Daphnia pulex: one gene and its partners. The protein of the gene in region 1 interacts with the protein of each later gene in a biochemical or structural test. Links are inferred from orthologs where the notes say so. Each region holds a gene or a part of one and is shown in the gene's direction. Other genes may lie near its edges.

The links.
Region 2: the proteins of peroxisomal targeting signal 1 receptor-like (region 1) and peroxisomal membrane protein PEX13-like form a complex in vitro, tested with the Homo sapiens proteins (3 studies listed by BioGRID). The link is inferred for Daphnia pulex from reciprocal best matches to the Homo sapiens genes PEX5 and PEX13.
Region 3: the proteins of peroxisomal targeting signal 1 receptor-like (region 1) and peroxisomal targeting signal 2 receptor-like form a complex in vitro, tested with the Homo sapiens proteins (3 studies listed by BioGRID). The link is inferred for Daphnia pulex from reciprocal best matches to the Homo sapiens genes PEX5 and PEX7.
Region 4: the proteins of peroxisomal targeting signal 1 receptor-like (region 1) and alanine--glyoxylate aminotransferase-like are reported together in a solved structure, tested with the Homo sapiens proteins (2 studies listed by BioGRID and IntAct, with this or other methods). The link is inferred for Daphnia pulex from reciprocal best matches to the Homo sapiens genes PEX5 and AGXT.

Annotation. Positions count from the first base shown.
Region 1 is NC_060028.1:9,644,642-9,648,651, reverse strand, and holds the start of peroxisomal targeting signal 1 receptor-like, read left to right. Parts: upstream 1-1,210; 5' UTR 1,211-1,392; intron 1,393-1,455; 5' UTR 1,456-1,513; coding exon 1,514-1,657; intron 1,658-1,735; coding exon 1,736-2,167; intron 2,168-2,226; coding exon 2,227-2,446; intron 2,447-2,511; coding exon 2,512-2,660; intron 2,661-2,717; coding exon 2,718-2,874; intron 2,875-2,938; coding exon 2,939-3,093; intron 3,094-3,152; coding exon 3,153-3,250; intron 3,251-3,321; coding exon 3,322-3,448; intron 3,449-3,518; coding exon 3,519-3,560; intron 3,561-3,638; coding exon 3,639-3,675; intron 3,676-3,744; coding exon 3,745-3,865; intron 3,866-3,934; coding exon 3,935-4,010. Other genes in the region: NSFL1 cofactor p47-like, read right to left, coding at 1-59, 136-277, 343-449, 509-688, 753-865, 929-1,030.
Region 2 is NC_060017.1:2,686,771-2,690,595, reverse strand, and holds peroxisomal membrane protein PEX13-like, read left to right. Parts: upstream 1-1,465; 5' UTR 1,466-1,595; coding exon 1,596-1,690; intron 1,691-1,765; coding exon 1,766-2,062; intron 2,063-2,133; coding exon 2,134-2,381; intron 2,382-2,456; coding exon 2,457-2,663; intron 2,664-2,733; coding exon 2,734-2,975; 3' UTR 2,976-3,325; downstream 3,326-3,825. Other genes in the region: opsin, ultraviolet-sensitive-like, read right to left, coding at 3,419-3,542, 3,607-3,708, 3,770-3,825. UniProt on the Homo sapiens protein: Component of the PEX13-PEX14 docking complex, a translocon channel that specifically mediates the import of peroxisomal cargo proteins bound to PEX5 receptor.
Region 3 is NC_060018.1:847,306-850,747, forward strand, and holds peroxisomal targeting signal 2 receptor-like, read left to right. Parts: upstream 1-1,355; 5' UTR 1,356-1,467; coding exon 1,468-1,579; intron 1,580-1,668; coding exon 1,669-1,844; intron 1,845-1,901; coding exon 1,902-2,015; intron 2,016-2,080; coding exon 2,081-2,189; intron 2,190-2,245; coding exon 2,246-2,439; intron 2,440-2,523; coding exon 2,524-2,772; 3' UTR 2,773-2,942; downstream 2,943-3,442. Other genes in the region: GDP-fucose protein O-fucosyltransferase 1-like, read right to left, coding at 1-84, 192-364, 478-669, 750-867, 938-1,059, 1,138-1,240. UniProt on the Homo sapiens protein: Receptor required for the peroxisomal import of proteins containing a C-terminal PTS2-type peroxisomal targeting signal. Specifically binds to cargo proteins containing a PTS2 peroxisomal targeting signal in the cytosol.
Region 4 is NC_060018.1:10,707,093-10,711,307, forward strand, and holds alanine--glyoxylate aminotransferase-like, read left to right. Parts: upstream 1-1,415; 5' UTR 1,416-1,555; intron 1,556-1,640; exon of another isoform or gene 1,641-1,642; 5' UTR 1,643-1,647; coding exon 1,648-1,803; intron 1,804-1,865; coding exon 1,866-2,058; intron 2,059-2,130; coding exon 2,131-2,296; intron 2,297-2,366; coding exon 2,367-2,522; intron 2,523-2,583; coding exon 2,584-2,679; intron 2,680-2,832; coding exon 2,833-3,081; intron 3,082-3,196; coding exon 3,197-3,362; 3' UTR 3,363-3,837; downstream 3,838-4,215. UniProt on the Homo sapiens protein: Peroxisomal aminotransferase that catalyzes the transamination of glyoxylate to glycine and contributes to the glyoxylate detoxification.

The DNA of each region.
Region 1 (4,010 bases):
CCATTTGCAAATGCACTTCACGGCCGCGAGATTCACGGATCAACTCCATGGGTACTTCTCTAATGATGGACAAATTGTAAGGAAATTTGTAAACAATTGTTTTATTCATATTTAAAACGTAGAATGCACAATTACCCGCGTTTGATGTATTCAAGGAAGTCCTTGTTTGCCGGATTTTGGTAGTCTCTCACTGGACCCTCATCTAAACTGAAGCCGGTTTTCCATAATTTTAGCACAACGGTCCTAGGTTGTTCAGGCTGTCGTGCGCCTGGTATGACTATAGAAAGGAATTATGCTTGAAGAAATGTCATGGTGCTGTTATTTCATGGCAAAGATAACTACCTTGTGTATCCTCTTCACTCTGCCCTAGACGATATCCAGTTCCTTTAAATGTTTGATTACCCTTGGTTGAGGTTGAGGCCCCCTTTTCCAAAACTTCTGCTCCATGCCTAGGATCCAGAAAATGTTAATACATTTTTCTTGTAATAATCTCAAAGAGTAAACCCACTCTCTGGCTGATTTGAACATGTCTCCAATGAGATCTCCAGAAGGCTTTCCCTTGTTACGTGGTGGACCAATGACTTGCTGACCACTTCTCTCAGAGCCTCCAACATAAAAAGCTTGGCCCTCTTCATCCGAATCAGAAGAACTATTCATTTCTACAAGTTTATGGACAGCAGCAGCACCTCTATAATTAAATTTTCAAAATTTGGTCTGCACTACAGTATGTGAAAAATCATATTAACTAATACCTTGATGGGGGTTCTGGAAGTTGGTTTGAAGGAACTTCAACAGGTTCATCTTCTCCATCTCCAGCTTGCCTGTCCATAGCTCCATCATTTTCAAAGAAGCTGGCAAGGGCTGTCTGAGAATCAAAGTGATTTATTTATTGAATGCTCATAACTGTTCTTAATCTGTCTTAGTATACTTCTAATTGCCAACCGGATGACTCTAGGTAAAAACGAGCCCTTTGTTCATCAATCCCAGTTACTTCCCGGAAATTGGCAACTAATTCGTCGTTCGCTGACATGTTCAAACTAAATGTATTGAGTAATTACAATAGACAGGCAAAACTAGGCAGAATTTCAAGACTAAAATATTTTCACCAAACGAAGGACAGAGCTGACGACTCGTCGGATCGGGATTTCGAACAAAAGTCGTAATGTTTTTCATGACCGACAGAGCCATCTATACCACCATGGCCTTTATTCACTAGGTGGCTTTTGTTGTTTGTTGTACGAAATTGGTGTGGATGTGACTTTGCAGAGTGATAGAAGTTACAGTGATAAGACATACACACGATATCTTAACAACTTGCTTTCATAAGTTATATTGATGAATAGTATTGGGAAATTATTACCGAACCATTCTTGAGCTAGACCCTCTTTTTAGGTAACACATGATTTCTAATGACACATGTGTAACAGAAACTAATATATTGTTTTGTATTTTTAGGTAGCTATACATTCAGGAAGAAGTTTGGAGACCTTGAGCTCGGACATCAGTACCTAGAATGGCGTTTCGAGAATTAGTTGATGGAAATTGTGGTGGAAGGAATCCTATGCTTAAAGTAGCATCACATTTTACCAGAGATCAAGGATTTCGTCAGGATGTACCTGTTTCACATAGACACCCTGAACCGAGACCAGAAGATGTTGTAAGTTGATTCCTGACTCACTGTCTAAAGAAAAAGCATTCTCTCACAAATCTTTTTTTTATCTCAACTATTTTCTAGATGGTCAGAGAATTTTTGGAGGGTATTCCACCTCCATCTCAAGTAGGATCAAGAGGTGCCTTTAACATGGATAGCCTTTTACGTGAGATGAGGGATCTGGAAAAGCCACAAGGAATTGCTAGACCTCCTATTCAACCAGGACCAAATGTAGCCCATTATGCATTTGATGACAAAAACTGGGCTGAAGATTTTTTGAGGAAAGAACCTCATGTGATACCAGAAGATTTACCTTCTGCTAGTGGATGGAGTCAGGAGTTTCTGGACAGTCCTGGCTATATGGGAGTTGTAGATGATTATGCAGAGTGGGACAACCATTGGGATAGCTTAACCTCTCATATAGAAAAACCGGGATTTTCTGCTCCTGGCGCATTAGCCCAAACTGCCGGAGAAATTATTGACAGAATGAAAGATCCAAAATTTGCTCAATCTGAGGTAATATTTTATGCGCATGATCCCTTTCCTGACCAAAGTTTCTGAAAAAAAGCTTTCAGTTTTTGCAGTTTATGCACAAGGTCAATCAAGGGGAGGAGGATTTGACCTCGGAACCTCGGACTACTACCGCTCATAGTAATTCAAACTGGGCGGAGGAGTTTTCTGGCTCAGAGGGTGTAACAAGACAGCCAGAATCCAGTGCAGATCAAGACTGGGCTGCTGAATTCACAACTAATCGTCAACCTGATTCGGCCGACGAATGGACAAAAGAATTCAGCGGTAGTGTTATATATTTTAAGTAGCTAATCAACTTCATCCTTGTAATTTTTTTTGCATATATAAAGACGGTGCCAGCGCTGAAGTGTTTAGGGGCGGAAATCCAGCTCAAGATGACTTCTGGTCACAACTTCAACAAGACTGGGAAAAAGCAGCCGACGACAACCCTGCAAGCTACGGATGGCTTAAGGAAACGCAACAAGATCCGTTAAGTGAAGTAATAATGCGCATGGTATTTACTAGTTCCTTGATTCTCACTTCTGTTGGTTTTTAGTACACATTTGAGGCAGAGAATCCGTACCAAGACAACGCGGATCCTTACAATACAGGTCTCCAAAAAAGATTAGAAGGTGATCTTCCAAGTGCCATTTTGCTGTTTGAGGCAGCTCTAAAAAAAGATCCTGAACATGTGAAAGCTTGGGAAGTTCTTGGTAAAAATATCTAATTATTTATATGCCAGGATTCTGTGTAAAGTTAGCTTGTTTTTTATTTTAGGGTTGACTCTTGCCGAAAACGAACAAGATCCAGGGGCAATTACCGCATACAAGCGTTGCTTAGCATTGGAACCAACAAATCTTGTTGCCATGATGGGTCTGGCTGTAAGTTACACAAATGAATCTTACCAGTTGCAAGCTTGCCAAGCCCTGGAGGTAATTGTTTTCCAATTAGTGTAAGGCATACAACATTAAAGGTGGTTTTATATTATTAGGACTGGTTGCGGAACAATCCCAAGTACGGACACTTGACCTCTCCTTCATCAGCCAGGGTTAACGAACGGGAGAGAACATTTACAAGCCTAGTTTCTGGGTACAGGAAATATTTTCTAATTTGTTGTGATATTACGGCGCAAACTTACCCGAGTTTTAAATTCTACCTAGGGATACTTTTAACCGAGTTCAGGATATGTACTTAACAGCAGCTCGATTACAACCTTCCCAAGACTTAGATCCCGATGTGCAAACTGGCTTAGGCGTACTTCTCAATCTCTCTGGGGATTTTGATAAAGTATGATGCATTTATGAAATTATTCGATTTTCTTGATTTTTTCAATTGGCTGCATTGCTTCAATTTTTAGGCTCCCGATTGTTTCAGGGCTGCTCTTCAGATGAAACCTAATGTAAGTTGTGGTGATTTATTATTTGCATGTACTTTTTTCAAGTTTATGATTTTATTTATTGTTAATTCCTATTTTCAGGATTCTTTGCTTTGGAATCGGCTCGGAGCAACTTTAGGTGACTAGCTTTTCTTACATAGAATAGTCTTACATAAGAACGTATGCATGATTTACGTGTTATTTGTAGCCAATGGAGGGAAATCTGAAGAGGCCATTGAGTCATATTACAAAGCTCTAGAGCTGTCGCCTGGTTTCATTCGCGCGCGTTATAACTTGGCAGTTTCCTGTATCAACCTAGGTGCTCACAGGTAATAAAGATTAACATTTTCTTTCTCCAATCCTGTTTAGTGTATACATTTTCTAAATTCTCGAAACAGAGAAGCAGCCGAACATCTAGTGTCCGCTTTACTCCTTCAAGCTAGACGTTCTAAGCGCGTCATGTCCGACAATATT
Region 2 (3,825 bases), on another chromosome or scaffold:
TGCGGCTCCTAATATACTATAGTTGGAATATTAGTAAATAAATCTATACGCCATGCTGGGAGAGAGAAAGAGAAAAGGAATGTGTGTGCTGTTGTTGACTTGATAATTACACAGTTATGGCGGGACAATAACAGCAGAAGCGCCGCATGCAGAGTGCAGTGCCAGCTGCAGTTTTCGTCGCGTTTATCATGGTAATAACATCACTGTTGGTTACTATGTGCTGCCGATTTTTTCGCTTCACTCTTTACACCAGAATGTGTGGACACAGTCCTGGTAAATGTGTAATGTCTGCTGATGGGGATGTCTGGCTGAATATTTATTTTCCTCGTTTTTAAGGCTAATCGGAAAAGATGCAGATGGTCGGAATGAACAACCGCAGCCCAGATATTTAGGCACGGTATTCTACGTTGCGCCAGGGCTATAAGATCAAGAGGATGCATTAGATGAATTCACTTTCTTTCATAACGCCCACTACATTTCAATCTAATGATGGTCGTATTCACGGTGAATATTTATCGAGAAATTTTCACGTTGGAGAGTTTGTTTGTTATAGATTCAATCCTTCGAAAATTCTCGGATTTTGTTGTTCAAATATTCTTCTCGTTGCTCTCTGATTTTGTGGAGGATTCCGTTCATAACTTTTTAAAAAGAGAACCTGATTTGATGGGTTTGTTATGAAATGACTGCCCCAACTATTCAGTGAGATGTTTAGCAGTTTCTATTCAGAGCCGAGTTCTTTACATAACGCTGCCGTGCAGGCGTTCATGAAACCTATTGGCAGTCGACGTTGGCTGAATAGGGGGGTGGGCAATGGTGGTTGAATACACATCAGGAATCACGCACGCTTCACGACCGCACTCAGCAGAATTATTACACAACTACTACCAGAGAACCGGGTTGGTGAGAGCTGTGCTGCTGTGTGCAGGCACTTGGAGGCCATTCCCAACTCTCCTCCTTCCCCAATCCTATAGCCTTAGGCAGCTCCAATAATTGGCTGCTGCACGACAACGAATAGAAATTCAATCTCACCGGAGTGATTGCTTGCCAGCGTGAATCCGAGAACCTTTTTCTTCAATTCCTATTTATGATGTGCTCTCTACTTCAACTTTTTTTCACTCTCTCTCTCTCCCTTTCTTCATCCCTGACATGTTTAGATTATGTTGAGTGGTTTCCCAAGCATTTTAGCTTCATCCGAATCATTCCTTATAATCAAACTTCATTGTCGATTATGTTGAATATGTTGCAGTAAAAAAAAAGATATTAATAAATCTGATTAAATTTGAAATAGTCGTCAGACTTAATTTCAAAACAGTAAAAGTAAACAGACAAGGATATTACGCATCAACGCGTGTGTATTGTTACTTAGTTATATCCTTAACGTATTTAAAAGTTTGCGGCAGATTTTTGAATTGAAAGAAATTTTCACACTACTACCATCTACCGGTGTACAAACTCATCTCATTCGTTTCGGAATTTTTATAATGGTGTCGTCTTGTTGTTGACAAGTCGATTCCGTTTTCTGTATCAGAGTTCGCTGGATTTATCAGCAAATCGAGGCAAAGTCTTCGAGTTTTTAGTCTGAATCGTTCAACGCCATGGCAGCTCCATTAAAGCCGTGGGAAAGGGCTGGTGTAAATTCACGAGCTTTTGGTGGCGACATTGGCAACACCTTACCTACACCCATCGTCAGGTGCGTAATACATGTTGTGTTTAGTTCATTTGTTTGGTTTGTTACCTTCATCAATATCTGTTTTGATTATTTTAGTGGGGGTGGAGGAAGTGCTTTTACAGCTTCAGGGCCTGGCGTCCCACCACTGCCTCCTAGAGTACCCGGGGCAAACCCAACAAACAATGATTATGGTGCAGTTTCAAGCTATTCTCCATATCGAACAGGCATTTCAAGTTATTCAAGCCCTTACGGTTACAGTAGTGGATATGGGGGTTATTCGGGACTTTCTAGTGGCTATGGTACTAGTTATGGAGGCTATGGTAACAGCTATGGTGGATATGGAAGTTACAACTCTTATGGAGGGAGAAGTTATGGAGGGACAAGTGATAACAGGTAAAATTTTAAAAATTAAAATAATCATACTTACAACAATTCAACAATTTCATTATTTTTTCTCAAACAAGGTTTATTTCCATGGCAGAAGAGAGTTCTCAACCTGCATTTCAGAGCTTGGAATCAATTGTCCATGCATTTAGCTCCATTAGCATGATGCTGGATTCAACCTTGAATGCTGTTTACAGCTCTTTCAGAGCCGTATTGGGTATGGCTGATCAGTTTTCCCGAATGCGAACACATTTAAGCAAGGTGTTTTCTGCATTGGCCATATTTCGTACGGCAAAATGGGCTCTACACAAATTATTCTACATATTTGGTATGTCTGATTATGCAAATTCTCGACGCAGTAGTTGCAGCCATTGTTATCAACTAAACCCCCTTGTGTTTACAGGTTTGAGACGAGAAAATCCAATCAATACGGCATGGTCCACTGCCGTATCAAATTCGGATGCCTTATCTGCGGGTCTATTGACTGAAGCTGATATTAAAAAGTCCAGATCATCATGGCCCATCACCTTGTTCCTTGCCATAATCATTTCTGCCCCATATTTCATATGGAGGATCATATCTTCCCTAGACAGTGCTCCGGATGCACTAGGTGCGTTAACACACTAACTTTTGTTTCATAAACTCGCTTATTCAAATTATCTAATCTTTTAATGCTCTAGGAAAAAAGTGGGCTGATGGCCTAGGAGAATATTATACTGCTCAGGCAGATTATGATTTCAATGCCGGAAACGAACAAGAATTAAGTTTCAGAGCTGGCCAATCCCTACGCTTGGCTCCCCGTTCCCTTCAGCCTCGCATCAAAGGCTGGATGCTTGCCGGCACCGATTCACAACACACGGGCCTCGTACCTGCGAATTACATCAAAATTTTGGCCAAACACGAAAGTTCGACTCCCAAATAATTCATTTGACTGATATACAGTAGCTAAACCAAAGGAATAACCTTGTCCAAAAGTAAATTGTTAGCTGTTTGATGCCATTCAGTTATTTCGAGCTATATTTTTATCAGTCATGGAGTTGGGCCACTACTCATATTCAAAGCCTCAAAAACATTTAAGGCGTTTGAAATTATTGGCGGCCTTTGTGAAATTATTCAAATTTTTTTTACCCCAATTTTTAGAGGCTTGTGAATAGGAAACGCTCAAATGTTGACGAAATCGTACGATTAAGTGATGATGACTCCTTTTTGTTATGCTGGGTTTGTTTATTTGTAATTCAACAAATCAATATATATTGTGGGATATTAAAACTACTACTAATTGCTATGGATGATTTTTTCTTCGGAAGGTTATGTTCATGATCCTGTTTCGGTCCTTGGTCAAAATAATTAAAGGCTATGCAGATTTTACGAAGAAGTTTCCTTGGAGACACCAGACATTTCTGTCGTGGCCGAACCGACGCTCGAATCGTCGTTGGTAGGAACAGGCTCGTGAATGCAGAACCAGGGCATTTTCTTCTGCAGTTCCATGCTGAAAGGATGAAGAAAAATGTGGTAAGAATGACTGTCATTTCACTATGAATAAGATGTGTTACCGATAACGGGGATGGTTGATTGCATAGATCCATGGGTTGATGCAGGATACCAATTTACAACAACAGGCAGGCACCGTGCTCAGAAGTGGTGTCAGGACGGACCTGTGAAAAGATGACGATGGTGATTTATTTGAGAACAAATTTGTTGAAAGTATTATCTCACCTATTTCCAAAAGCGGCTGTGAGAGCCACAAAGGCATAAGGAGTCCAAGCGAAAAC
Region 3 (3,442 bases), on another chromosome or scaffold:
AATTCCCAACTCGTTGCGGTAACCCAAACACTGAGGAGCAGAAAATAAGTTGGGGCTATGTTCCAAATGCTCGCAAGCTCTAGTCTGCATTCGAAATAAAGTAAAATGTGAAAAATAATAATAAAAAAAAAGAGACGAACAATATACTTTCAAATCAAGTACTAAAAACCCTCCTTAAAAGGGATATTTACCCAGTCAACGCCATTCCGCAAGTGAATACCAACAAATGCTCCGATAGGAAGTACATTGCGGATAAAGTTAACTGCCCGGTCGACAATTCGCCGACTCCATTTAAGGTATTTATGCAGTCCAACGTTTTCTTGCTGAACTGGAAAACTTGCAGGGGCCCCGGTAAATGCAAGAACTGATCAAAATAAAAAAAAAAAAAAAAAAATTTAGTTTGTTAATATTAAGTCACAATAAAGTCTTCTTTATCTATGATTAAGTCAACAACTATGGAATTTAAGTAATATCTACCTGGTGATTTTTGAATAGGGTATCTGCTGTTCCATTTTCTGGCCATGTCTTGATGATGGACATCATAGTTAAGTGGACCATAAAATTCAGATTGAACAAAATCTACACTGAAAGTGTCCCAAAAAGGCCCAAAAGGGTTTCCTTCCTTAGCATTACAGTCTGTACCTTGACCTCTGGCCATGTAACAAAAAGCTGAAAAGGTATAAACATTTTTCATTAGATTTTCAAAGTCAATACTCAGACCTAGTAATTCATATAATTATAAAACTTGCATGTTCTTTCGTTTAATGGCCAAACTTTAGGAGCAATATTCTCCATGAAGTCTTCCATTGAGATAACCCGATGGAACTCTGAGAGGGGTTCCAGTTCAAAATAATGTAAGAAAGGAACCTGAAAATGAATTTTTGGATAATACAGGAATAATTCATTTTTTATAATAATACAGCGTGTTCGAAGGAACCTGAACTGATTTTGGCTCCCCAAATCTATATTCCACCCATGGGGGAAGAGCAAGTGTCCTATTTAGAGCCTTAGCAAATGCAAGTGATCCAAGGAAATGGTCAGCTTGATTACCAAACCTTCCTAGAAAACAGAAATGTTGCAAATTAAAGGTGAAACCTTCTGATTTCTAAAAGTACAAAAAGGGTTATAACTGATTACCCATGCACGGACAGTATAATATATATCCATTTGAATCTACATCAATATTTGCAAATATTGACGCAGCAAAAAGAAATGGCAGCAAGAATGTTAAGAGAGACATGTTTTTTTCTTATTTTTATTTAGAATTTGAAACGGTACAAATTCTCAACAGGTTTATGGTAGATGGCGGCTGTTAGTATTGGTTCAAAATTGGCCCATAGATGGCTCTTTCAGTCTTTTTCAACAATCAAATCAATTGACAAGTAAACAAATCACTTGACATGTAATAGAAAATTGAAAAGGAAGTCTTCTGTTAAAAATATTTCTTTAAAGCCAATAATTTCCAAAATGGATCTTGTATCTTTTCCTCTAAACGACTGCCATGGTTATTCCGTTAAATTTTCACCTTTTATTGAACGAAGAATTGCCTGTGTAGCTTCTCAAAATTATGGACTGTCAGGTAGGCATGAAGAAAAGTGCATCGTTGATAATTACATTGAAAAAATCCCGACTGCTTATCATCTATTTATCGTTTTTAACGTTACTAAGGATCTGGATTTCTCTTCGTTCTTGATTTAAGTCCTACCAACCACTTGACATTAGCAGTTCAGAGTCAATGGACTGATGGGCTTTTCGATTTAGCATTTGCTGAAGATCACCCAGATATAATCCTTACAGCATCAGGTGATGGAGGAATCCAATTGTGGGATCTTAAAACTCCAGAAGTATTAAACATTTCCTTAATATAGATACACTAATAATAAATTGTAACCCTATTTTAGGTGCCAAAACTTGTGTGGAAAGAACACTCAAGGGAAGTGTGTTGTCTAGACTGGAATCAAACCAGACAACAACAGCTAGTTCTGAGCTCTTCATGGGACAGAAGCATAAAACTAGTACCTCCAGAAAATTGTATACTTTAATAGATGATGTATTTATTCATTTTTTTTAAACAATGTAGTGGGATCCTAAGGGTACAAAGAGCATTTGCACTTTTTTGGGTCATTCTGATCTAGTCTACAATGTAACTTGGTCCCCACATTTACCAAATTGCTTTGCATCTGTCTCAGGTGAGAACCTCTTTCATTATCAAGTAAATAACAATGTTAACTCTGTTGTTTTGAAGGGGATCATACTCTATGTATCTGGAATAGCACTAAATCAGGTCAGCCTGTAGTCAAATTAACAGCTCATGCCACAGAAGTATTAGCGTGTGACTGGTCAAAATATGACCGGAACGTCATCGCAACTGGAGGAGTAGATGGCAGGATTAGAGCTTGGGATTTAAGGAATACCACTGCTCCATGCTTTGAACTAATCGTAATTCTTCATTTGAATCATCAGTGGAGCAAAACAACAAAAAAAAAACAGATTCTCTAACCTAATTTATGCATTTCTTCAAAGGGGCATGAGTATGCTGTGAAAAGATTGCGCTTTTCGCCCCATCAAGCGCACCTTTTGGCTTCGTGCTCTTACGACATGACCACGCGTGTCTGGGATACACGCCGCCTTCAGCCAGAAGTTTTTGCACATCACCGCGAATTTGTCTATGGACTCGACTTCAGCTGCCTGTCACCTGATAAAGTAGCTGACTGTTCCTGGGATCGCACAGTATCCATCTACACACCTCCATCTGTGTTGAACACTGAATAGAAAAAATGTTAGAATTACTCCCAAAATCGCCGGTTATTGTTATATTATTTTTTACATATTCGCAAATTTAAATTTCCCAGTTAAATGAATGTGGGATGTCCTGGAATATGTGAATCATTTGTTTTAGAACCGTATTATGAAATTTAATAGAATTCTAACTTTTCAAGTTATCAATAGCGTCATTACCGATCATAGCTCATTACATTTGGTTGCATCATAGAACTTAAGGGGGGGAGGCCGGGAGGGGCAGGTGTTAAACCATGGTCTACAGTGGTTAAACTTCCTATTTCTACGATTCTATTTTTTTTTATTTTTAAGTAAGCAGTATATTATTGATTATTCATTCATCTGATTATCTGAAATTGCACTAATTCTAATTTGAATACGAAGAAAAAAAAATGGGAAATTAAAAAAAATATATATGTAAGAAATCGATATTTGACTCGCGTCGTCTGCAGCCTGCGGCTTGGGGTAAGACTGACGGAACTTGAACTGTCAAAATAGCTTACGTGAGTAAAGACACAGTGACTGAGTACGTGGCAAAAACAAACTGGAAGTCGGTGAAGAGTGCTGCATTTTCTTTATGTAGGTAACTGGTTTTGAAATTCTATATAAGGGTTTGTAGAATATTTGTTTAAAGCTTGTTTGTGATAAAATTCATGAATTTCTA
Region 4 (4,215 bases), on another chromosome or scaffold:
TTGTTTTTGTTACTGTAATCAATAGAGCTTTAGAAATGCGCTAGTGTCTATTAAATTATCCCTATGCGACATATATTTAACTTCGATGATATTTTAATTACAAATTGACGGAGGTGTTCGTTGGTTGTCGCCGTCTAGCGGTGATTGTTGGTTGACCACTCTGTGATTCTCTGGTTTTGGTTTGGTTTGGTATGATTAGGTGCGTCTGCTATCTGGGATTCTCTGGTGATTCTCTGGATTCTGTTTGTTTTCTTTCTAAAAACCATGGAAGAGTTTAGAATTCTTAGCGCTAGGTGGAGACAACCAACGAACACCTCTCCCGTCCTCTAAAAATTAAAACGCAAATATCTTTTAATTTAATATCTTCACAAGAAATGTGCATTGGAGACTTACAATAGCTTTTTAAATCTCTATCGATTGACCCTTCTTCAAAAAATATGATTAAAAATCCACCCGACAAGCTATAACACGGCGGGATAGGACGTGAGTCCCGTCCTCTAGCTTTAGTAGTCCATGGCTAAGCATAGACGAGATAGTGCGCGACCATGTTGCGCAGGATGTCCAACTGCTCCATAGTCAAAGTTTGTTATCCCTTTTTCTGCAGTCTGTTTAGCACAACCGGGATTTTTATGTTTGCCGTCCGGAATAACCCCGTCAACATAAGATTGACATTTTCGTTAATTGTGAATCAACGAGAAAACACACAAAAAAAACTTCGTACACTTTTAAAGATAATTGAATGGGCTTTTCAGTGATATATAGTTGAACTAGATTTTGAATTTTTCAAATGTTAAAAATCGCAATCAAAGCAAAAGAATAAGAAAAATTGCGAAAAATTTATTGGAAAAATCTGATTTTCTTAAATAACTCTAAAATTTATCATTGTTTTTTTACCAAACTTGGCATACCAGTACCTAACATTGTTATGCATCAGTTGGTAAAAAATTATTTCCTTAATTGATTTCTAACAGGCCGATAAGGCGGCTGTCCGGAATAGCCCCCGTCCGGAATAGCCCCGCTCTCCCCTACTGTATATTTTTTTACATATAAATTCATCATATAAATTCATATTTCCTACGGGAACATCGCAATCCAAAGGGGTGCGCCACAAATGGTGCCCAGAGAAAAAGTTTTATGTTTTTTTTAGAAAGGGTTTTTTTTTCTCTGGGGGTGCCCAACCGTTTAGTTGCTTGATTTCGCACTAGACGGCGCGTAAAAATAAAAGGACAAATTCGAAAATTGCGAAGACAGGATAAGGGTAAACACTAAACACAAAAAAAAGATTTTCAAAAATGAAACTAAATAACAAACTACCCTTGCTAACGCGAACGCTACTTGCTCAGTCAGGTAGCTGCTAAATTGACAAAGTAGAGTTATTTGAATAATATCACGAATATATAAGTGGCTCAACAGGTGGCGTCGGAATGTCTGCAGACGATATGTTCAACGACTGTTGCCATAGCATTGAGCTGGTTCGTGCCGTAACTCGTGTCCAAAGTCGAAAGAGATCATAACGGATTCACTGCTTGTCATTATTACTGCGTCAATTACAAAGGTTATCATTACTTTAAATTATTTCCGTGAAACATTGTTGCAATGTTCAAATGAATTACTATTTTGAACTATGTTGCTGCTTGCACAGTTACCATGGCCGTCGACTATCAACCTCCTCAGTGCCTTTCAAGACCAATCGAGGTCCCGTCCAAACTGTTAATGGGAGCAGGTCCATCCAATGCCGCTGAAAATGTATTGAAAGCTGGAAGTTTGCCTTTATTGGGGCATCTTCACACTGAGTTTACCCAAGTATGTGGCTTTTTAACATTTTTGTTGTTGTCATATTTGTAAACATCTTTCATTTGCTGCAGATTATGGATGATGTCAAACAAGGCATCCAGTATGCATTCCAAACAACAAATACTCTGACCCTTGCTATAAGTGGTACAGGCCATGCAGGCATGGAGGCAGCTTTGTGTAATCTCATTGAACGAAATGATGTTGTTCTCATTGGCATCAATGGAATCTGGGGAGAAAGAGCAGCTGATATGGCCAACCGCCAAGGTAAAAGTTTATGCCCACTTGCTCGTTAAAGCTCCATCTCCATTCATTCATCTTTTGTTTGTTGATGATTAGGTGCTGATGTTCAAACTGTCACAAAAGTGGCAGGAGAAAATTTCAGTTTGGCTGATATTGAAGCTGCCTTACTGCAACACAAACCAGCTGTTCTCTTTCTGGCTCAGGGAGAATCGTCCACCGGTGTGGTGCAACCCATTGAGGGTTTTGGTGCCCTGTGTACCAAGTAAATAATATCTATTAAATATTAAAATCAAGCTTATCAGCGAGACGTTGATTTCCTCTTCTATTTGCAGGCATAATTGTCTGTTGCTAGTGGATACCGTAGCCTCCCTGGGCGGTGAGCCGTTTTACATGGATCGATGGCAAGTTGATGTTGTTTACACGGGCTCTCAAAAAGTCCTGGGAGCGCCGCCCGGGACCGCTCCCATCTCATTTGGCCCTCGCGCAGTGTAAGAGTCTCATTCGATTACTTATCGTTCCGCTTTTAACTCTACACTACTGACTCTCTAGGGCCAAGATTGCCGGGCGAAAGACCCCGATATCTTCTTTTTACTTCGACATGAATTGGCTTGGCAACTACTGGGGCTGCGATAGCCAACCGCGCAAGTAAGTGGTTCCACCGTGGTCGTCGCCACTGCTGCCCGCCAGCATTGGCGGGCGGCGGCGGCGTCGTCCTCTAGACGAGGTCGACGAGATTTCCAGATACCTCTGATATTAGAATGACCCACTTGAACGTTGTAACGTGTGGTCAAACGCTAGGTACCATCACACTGCGCCCATTTCCAGCATCTACGCCTTGCGCGAAGCTCTCGCCTTGCTGGCCAACGAAGGCCTGGAGAATTCATGGAATCGCCATCGTCAGAGCCGAGATCGCCTTATCAGCGGCTTGGCTAAATTGAACCTGAAGCCGCTGGCGTCGGAGCCCGCCGCCCGTCTGACGTGCATCACGGCGATTCAAGTCCCAGACGGCGTCGACTGGAAATCCGTCACCACCCACGCCATGTCCATGTAAATTTAAACCCCTCTCGTGACTCTCGCGCGCCCCGTACGCATTTTCTTACGTCCATGGAAATAACCATTCACGTTTTTATTTTTGTTTTGTCTTTTTAAAATATATAAAAAGGCGCGTGGAGATTGCCGGCGGATTGGGCCCCACTGCCGGACGTATCTGGCGTGTCGGACTAATGGGACAGAACGCTACCGATGAGCGCGTCGATCGTGTTTTGGAGGTGTTGGCCGAGTCCATCAAGAGCGCCACCGCTCCCGTCACCGTCATGGGCCGGCTCTGAAACTGCTGCGCAAATTCCCAAACCCGCACACAACATTCCGATATTACCAAAATACCCAGATCTTCCAGATTCACTTAGGCAATTTATCTTCCAGCTTTTTTTGGTTATCGTAGGACAACAAAAAATGGTTTTTTAAAAGGGAAATTGCATTTTTTCGAAACCAGTAGAGTCTCTTTATTGTAGTTGGGTTACACACACACACTAAAAAAAGAAGTATAAAATGGAAAGTCTATATTGGGGGTCCAGCTCTCATCACAACTTTGTTACCGAGCTTGTTGTTATCTTCGTTATCGCCCGCCCCGCACAAAAGGTGCTTGTTGTTTTGCTGTGTGTTTTTTATTTTGTGTCGGAGCCCCTTTAAAAAGCTGTTGGAAAAATGGTGGGACCAAAATATGCCGAGTACAAATGTACTCTGACCACGATTGAAAAGATGTACTACTCGCCCGGCCAAATACAAACGTGTAGACGCACTCAATTGACGTCTTGACGTCAAGACAATCAACCACACACTCACACAAAAGAAAGAAACCTTTTTTTCTAAAACGAACGTAACCCATCTTTCACTCTATCTGTTTCTATCTCTTCTTTTTTTTCGCAAAGTGTCTTTCTTATTTTATTTTTTTCCAGTGGGAGTTATCCGTCGGAATAGACCGCCGAGCAATTTGACTTTCTTTCTATTTGCGCAAGTCTCAAAGTTTTTTGTTCAAGAAACCAAAAGTCTTTTTTTTTATTTTATTTTTTCTGTATTTTTGTCGGGTGGGTTCGCCCCGTGACGGCCGATGCGTAGATGGAAAAGCCTCTCGAGTCTCATCATTCACGGTGCTCTTTCGTTCTGCGCAATTTGTCGCGGGGC